Linked DNA regions of Oryzias latipes. Each later gene encodes a partner of the first gene's protein in a complex. Links are inferred from orthologs where the notes say so. Each region holds a gene or a part of one and is shown on either strand. Other genes may lie near its edges.

Region 1 (3,068 bases):
GCAGAACGGGCCTGCACATGATCTATTTCTTAGTTTGGAGGATTCAGCCAGATTTTTACGACCTTGTCATCATAGATTTTGTTTTTGCTTACCTCTTTGAGAACTTTTGCATTCTCTGGCAGGACGGTAAAAAAGGGAAAACAATAGCAATAAAAAAGAGGTTTAGTGTTTTTCTACAATTTTAGAAGCTGTGCAGGAATTCTCTTTTTTTTAATAGATTTTTATTAAGTGCTTCCATTTGTAAGCTTAGTGTCTTTGTGAGGAAAAAAGCTGAAAAATAAGTGTTTTTCTACACTAAATGGCAAAGATAAATGTTACTGAAGTTTCCTAAACATAGCTTTGTTGTTTTTTATCGGATGTGTTCGAGCTGAGTTTCAGTTTCCAGCATGAAGATCACTTTCACATGGATTGGTTGAAGTTTACATCTTCACGTCTTCTTCTTCTTCAGCCAGGAATAAGCCCTGAGGTTCGGAAGAAGCTCGGCGAGGCGGCAGTCAGAGCGGCCAAAGCTGTTAACTACGTTGGTGCAGGTGATCCTTACTACCAGCTGTTCACCCCAGCTGTTCACCCTTGAGACTCTAAAAACCTTCCCCTTCCTGCAGGTACGGTGGAGTTCATAGTTGATGCTCAGCACAACTTCTACTTCATGGAGATGAACACCAGGCTGCAGGTGGAGCATCCAGTCACTGAGATGATCACAGGAACTGACCTGGTGGAGTGGCAGCTCAGGGTGAGGCTGGAAGAGAGGCCTGAAATGTGAACCATCTGTTGATGTTTTCCTTAAGTCGGCTTTATGGAAATCTCCTCCAGGTGGCAGCAGGGGAGCGCCTGCCCCTCCTTCAGGATGACATCATCCTGAGAGGACACTCTTTCGAGGCCCGCATCTACGCTGAAGATCCAAACAATGAGTTCCTTCCAGGGGCGGGGCCCCTGCTGCATCTGTCCACGCCTCCGGCGGACCGACACACCCGCATCGAGACCGGAGTCAGAGAAGGTGGGGAAGGACGGAGCCGCTTTTGTGGGTTTTAAGGTGGAAAAACGGGGGCTTGACGGCTGATTTTGGCTGCAGGAGACGAGGTTTCTGCGCATTATGACCCCATGATTGCCAAGCTGGTGGTGTGGGGGGAGGACCGCTCTGCTGCCTTAAAGAAACTGCGCTATTGTTTGCGGCAGTACAATGTGAGGGCTGAAGCACATTTGAACCTGTCAATCACCAGAACCGCTCCCAACATGCCGCCTTATGGTTTTAGATTGTCGGACTGAACACCAACATAGACTTTCTGCTGAGCCTTTCTGGACATCCGGAGTTTGAGGCTGGAAACGTGAGCACCAGCTTCATCCCTCAGCACTACTCCGACCTCTTCCCCACTCCCAGAGCCCCGTCAGGGGCAACCATCTGCCAGGCCGCCCTGGGCCTCATCCTGCAGGAGAGGAAACACACGCAGGAGTTCATAGAAACCTCGACAGGTATCCAACGGCTGGGGAGGGTCTCCTAAGAATGAGGTCAAACTCGAAGGTTCTACTGTGCTGTTTGTTTTCAGATCCGTTCTCCCCGTTCGGCTGCAGCAGTGGGTGGAGAAGCAACACGGAGTTCAACAGGAACATGACGCTGCAGATCAGTGACAAGAGTAAGTCAAACTCATAACTGCTGCTGCAACCAAACAGTCAGAGAAAGAAGGCAAGTCTGCACATTTTATTAAAATAATCCATGTCAGAAAAAATGCAACACACTGTTTTTTTCACGTTTTTAAAAGCTTGGGTTGTAGAGAATATCCTGTGAAAACTGTCAGAGGAGAGGAGTGCAGATGTGGGCAGAGTCAATCCTGCATCTGGGATTGAATTTGCTCAGGGGTTTAATGTGCTGGAGCTCATGAATGAACCTGCATTCATCATTAAATGTTTGTATTAAAATGTTTGTGCAGGAGAAAAGGTCAGCCCTTCAGTCACTGCCATCACGGAGGAGCTTTTATTGTGACGAGCATTTGTGTTTGCGCCAAACGTTCTATATTTAAATCAGCTTTTCTCGTCTGCAGAAATCGACGTGCTCGTCGTTTACAAGAAAGACGGAAGCTACAAAATGCTTGTAAGATCGTTTTTTATGTTTTGGTAAAAAATAATAATATTAAGACTAAAATATGAAAGCTTTTTCTTTTCTTTTAGGTTGGCGAGGACGTGTATGATGTGACAGGGGAGGTGGAGGAAAGTGGGGGAGCTTCATTCTTGCATTGCTCAATAAACGGAGTGAAGTCTCGTCCCAAACTGGTGATTTTGGACAGCGCCGTGCACCTGTTCTCCACGGTATGACCTTTTTTGCCTCTTCCAACACAAACATTTATGCATATTTTGAGGTGGCATGTGTCTTTCTGTCAGTGAACCGCATTCCAAAATGCTCACCTCTCTCCTGCAGGAAGGGAGCTCCCAGGTGTCGGTTCCTGTGCCAAAGTACCTGGCTGGAGTGAGTGGGTCGGGGGCCCAGGGTGGAGCCGTGGCCCCCATGACTGGAACCATCGAGAAGGTGAGTTTCAAACTCTGTTCGGAAGGGCATCAGTGAAAAACCTTTGTTTGGTTTCCGTTTGCTTTCCATCCCATTCATGGAGTAGACTGGAACCTTCAAGCTGCTTATTTAGAATTAGACTGAACCAGCTAGGATCGCAAGAATAAAAAATCTAGAAGAGGAAACAAATCCAACTAATAGATAGCAATAGTATGCAAATGAACTCTGCTGTGAATTACTACAGTGTGAATGCAAAGTACTGACAACCAAACTAAAAGTAAAGGGAAAGATGAAAAGGTATTTTACAAAAGTCTAATGCAAAAAAGCACCAACTTGCTACAAATTTAAAAACGCCCTAACTGGTTAGATTCAGTATTCAGGGCAACTAATGTTTTTATTTCATATTTATGATTAAAATTGAGCTTAAGACTGAGCTGGTCTTTTGATTGACAGGGAACCTGTAACCCTTGTGCTATCCTAGGCACTTTAACACTGGGTCATCTAGACCCACTAGACAGTACTCTGAACCTTTTTTCTTCAATGATTTGTGATCTTCACTGGTGTCCATGGATTA
Region 2 (3,821 bases), on another chromosome or scaffold:
GACAGTTAAATAAATAAGTCATATCTATTAAAGATTGTTGGGATTCAACCTTATTCCAAGTTAATAATAATGTATTTGTTTTTCAGTCCTCGCTTCCTGTACATGTGGCCAAACTCCAGGATCTCAGTGATGGGGGGCGAGCAGGCAGCAACAGTCCTGGCCACCATCACTAAAGATCAGAGGGCACGCGAGGGAAAAGAGGTAACGCTTAACGGCGCTCTGCCCGCCCACACTGTGCCCTAAGCATAAACATAATGAAAAAGCCTTCTTTTAGCAAGCGTTTGGCTTGGCGGGGGTGAACCAGCATCAGTGCTGAGTGATGACTGCGATGACCTGCTCTGATTGAATGTCTGTCATAAAAGCGCCCGGGCTCCGCCGTTATGGGTTTATTAAGGGCGCAGTAACGCCTCCAGAATGACTCGTCACATCAGGACCCTGCAGACAGACTCTAACCGTGGGAACAAAGACCCAACATAAAAAAGAAAAAATCTAATTAAAGTTCAGGTTCTGAATATTATCTCTGGATGGTCTTTTCATTTTCTAGACTCATTTATCAGCCGTTTTTCAAAGTTAAACGTTAAAGTTAAACAAGTCTCTTATATTAAGTCACTGATATACATTCTAGTCTTTATTTAAAAAATACCCTATCATGCAGTTTCAGGACTATCGTTCTGAAAATATGTTATATGTTTATGTAAATATGCTATTTATTTTAGTTAGTGTGTTGTGAACAAGATAAAGGAAAGGTTTGTGGTTTTCAGAAAGTGCGTTAATGTGTAAAACCCCATTTCCCAGAAGTCTCTGCATCAAACCACAGTACATCAATGCTCATCTATACTGGCGAATGGGGGACAACAATGCATTGGGTCTGACAGATTGGCCCTAAGAAATTTAGTTGTAGTAGCAGCACCACAGAATAAGAGAAGAGACATGAATCTCACAAGTCAGTGATATGATGTGAATTTAATATTTTTAAATGCACTTTTTATAAATCATTTAGGTTTTTATCCTCAGAACACAGTATTTTAATAGATAGCCTTTTGTATTGTTTGTATTTATTAGGTTTTTACTTTTGCAAATGGGTGACGTGATAATTGCTGTTTATTTAAAAAAAAAAAAAAAAAAAGAAAATAGTCAGCATATGTCCAAATTACATCTGCATTCTGATAGCAGAGCAGCAGCGTCAGTCAAGCGACCTAAAGAGGCGGAAGAAGCTGTGAAAGAAGCCTGGTTCTGGTCTGGAGCTTCTGGAGATGATTGTTTCTAAGGAGGCGTTTTAAGTTGAAAACCATCAGGGAAACGTCTGAAGACCCACTTCATTACACAGTAACTCAGTAACGCTGGGTTCAGTCTGATTTTTAACTATTTTTGGACACAAAAATAAAATATAAGAATCATGTTCAGAATGATAAACAAATACTAAGTAACTTTAGGAGAAATAATTTCACAGTAGCACAGTAAATTGTTAAAAAAACAACAATAGAAAAAATAATTTCTATAGTTTATTGCTTTGTAGCAAACAGCTATAACACTTACAGACTCTGTTTACGTCCCTGCAGTTGATCCACTTTTAAAGACTTCAGCTTGATGGCAAACTCTACTATTGTTCAGAGGTTTTCTGTAAAATAAAAAAATAAACTGCATCCACTGCTGATTAGCAGAAATCCACTTTGGAAGGAAGAAATGAGTCAAAGGCAAAAAAATCTTAGAAAGCATGACATTACATGCATACGGACTCTGTGGTTTTATTTTATTCAAAGACATGAGCGGTTGAAATTACTTTTTGGAAGGAAATCTGTCAGTTCTGGAGGTTGGAGATCAGCAACTTGGGCAAAAAAGATAAGTGAGAGGAAGAAAGAGTGGTCAAAGTTTTGCTTTTCAAGACTTTTGTGATTTCCTAAAATTACTATAATAGACAGAAACCGACTAGAAAAGGTTAAGACCTCTTCAAAAATAAGAACGGACCATTGTTATATTTGCATTCAAATGTGTCATTAAGTGGTCATATTTACATCATATTCAAATATCAGTTGAAATACTTTTGAATTCATGTCAGAGCTGCCAGTTTTTCCCTCTGGAAACTCTTGAAAACATACATTTGAAACTTCAACAAGCATCCAGTCAATCACTCCGAAAGCATTCAGATGGAGACGTTCTGTGAAAGCAGACCCGATTCAATCAACAGGAGGGTGAAAATATTGTTTGTGCGGAGAAAAGCCTTGATTTTGTTGTCTGCATTTTCTCTCTGAGTTTCAGTGATCTGTAACACTGGGATGACTAAGAAGCAACACTGGAAAATAATTGTATAATTTGCCACACAGCAAGATGATCTTCATCAGGCACTATAAAAATGCGCCAGCACAATAATAAAATTCCTCAAAAATGGAAGTGTTTGTAAACCTTTTATAGCATTTTTTTTAACATTCATACAACTTTTTTGGTTTGGTAAATAATGAGTATCTTTATCATTTGAGACAATTGCCTGGACAGAAGTTTCAGTGACTTCCCTGTTTTTTTCCATTTTTTTTTTCCAAAAATCTGCTCTTCACGACAAACGAAGCGACTGTGTTTTCTCTGCTTCACATCTTTAATAATTCAGGCCACCATTAAAGCTTTCTGGCCTTATTCCTTTCTTCCAATTATTCATAGTTCACAGCGGAACAAGAGGCTGCCATGAAGGAGCCGATCGTGCGGCGGTTCGAAGAAGAGGGAAGTCCATACTTCTCCAGTGCCAGGTGAGATTCGTTTGGGTCGCATCTTCAGGCACTAAATCTTGGTGTTACTCAGAGAGAGTCGACTACGTAAGGCAGGAACAAATCATTCTCGTTCCCTTATTTACTCTGACATCCTCCACCGGTCTTCCTGTGATGCTGCAGCAGAACGGAGAAACAATAAGCCAGAATCTCAGCGTGGTAAGAGACGCTGCAGCGCAGCTGAAGTGTATTTGGTCTCCATTAGACGGCCTGCTGGTTTGTGTTTATTGGATTTTCATGTGATCATTATGTCTGTGAGCAGAGCACATATTAAGATGACTGGGTTGTTACAAAGATCATACGTGGAGAAAAGGCTTCTGCATTCCAAACATTTCTGGAAGGCATTGCAAAATGCAATTATTATGAAGTTTATTATGAAACTGAAGTGAGAAATGGAAATCACCTTTTTGCCAGGACCACTGCACTGCTTTAAGGACTCTTTGTGTTCTACTACAACTTCTTCAGAATACTTTGAAGTCCCACTCCGATCATCTTTTGATTTTCAAAGCGTTCATGGTGGTCTTTTAATTATGATTCACCAGTTTCAGCCAAAATCCAAAGACCTGTGTGGCTTTCTAGGACATATGTGTGAGCAATCCTGCTCTCTTTCACCTCCCTGTTGCTGAGAGCTCTCTGTTTACACGCTCTCTCGCTAGCTTACAGCCCTTCACACCCCCAATCTAACAGGACAGGTGCAACAAAGATGGCGAGCAGAAGTGGAACTATCTGCTCGTACAGTTTTGAGCCAGATGCCAGCTCAGGAAAACAAAGACGAATGCATCAGAATGGAGCAGAGCAGAGAGTTTGTGCCACACCCGGTCTATTTTCGACGTCACACATAAGCTCTCTGTCAAACGGCGTTTTTTGTCTCTGCTCCTGATTCCCAACGATTCGAATACACATAAAAGCAATTCAAGGCTTGATTTTTGTTGATATATGTCCTCCATCATGAGAAAAATGCCACAAGAACAGAAGTTTATCTTGCAGCATTCCGGTACATGGGTTCAGAAACTGTTGCCTCCTCTGAGAACATCCCAGAAATCCAGGTCTGCTGTGTCTGCTTCCTCA

The links.
Region 2: the proteins of mccc1 (region 1) and mccc2 are in contact, whole or in part, in a cryo-EM structure (PDB 8JXM), measured with the Homo sapiens proteins. The link is inferred for Oryzias latipes from reciprocal best matches to the Homo sapiens genes MCCC1 and MCCC2. Residues at the interface, in NP_064551.3 of Homo sapiens: Glu519, Phe526, His531, Asp532, Phe534, Ser535, Pro536, Phe537, Ser538, Ser539, Ser540, Ser541, Gly542, Arg543, Arg544, Leu545, Asn546, Ile547, Tyr549, Thr550, Arg551, Tyr568, Tyr636, Leu637, Ser641, Glu644; in NP_071415.1 of Homo sapiens: Leu56, His57, Val60, Glu61, Lys64, Asp88, Ile91, Pro93, Gly94, Ser95, Pro96, Phe97, Leu98, Glu99, Gln102, Ile123, Gly124, Arg125, Gly128, Glu130, Arg234, Trp276, Leu278, His281, His282, His285, Lys298, Lys299, Leu300, Ile304.

Annotation. Positions count from the first base shown.
Region 1 is NC_019862.2:18,327,678-18,330,745, forward strand, and holds part of mccc1 (methylcrotonoyl-CoA carboxylase subunit alpha, mitochondrial), read left to right. Parts: intron 1-448; coding exon 449-530; intron 531-602; coding exon 603-730; intron 731-810; coding exon 811-994; intron 995-1,069; coding exon 1,070-1,179; intron 1,180-1,250; coding exon 1,251-1,467; intron 1,468-1,541; coding exon 1,542-1,628; intron 1,629-2,033; coding exon 2,034-2,083; intron 2,084-2,160; coding exon 2,161-2,298; intron 2,299-2,407; coding exon 2,408-2,515; intron 2,516-3,068.
Region 2 is NC_019867.2:5,185,274-5,189,094, reverse strand, and holds part of mccc2 (methylcrotonoyl-CoA carboxylase beta chain, mitochondrial), read left to right. Parts: intron 1-86; coding exon 87-201; intron 202-2,649; coding exon 2,650-2,735; intron 2,736-3,821. UniProt on the Homo sapiens protein: Carboxyltransferase subunit of the 3-methylcrotonyl-CoA carboxylase, an enzyme that catalyzes the conversion of 3-methylcrotonyl-CoA to 3-methylglutaconyl-CoA, a critical step for leucine and isovaleric acid catabolism.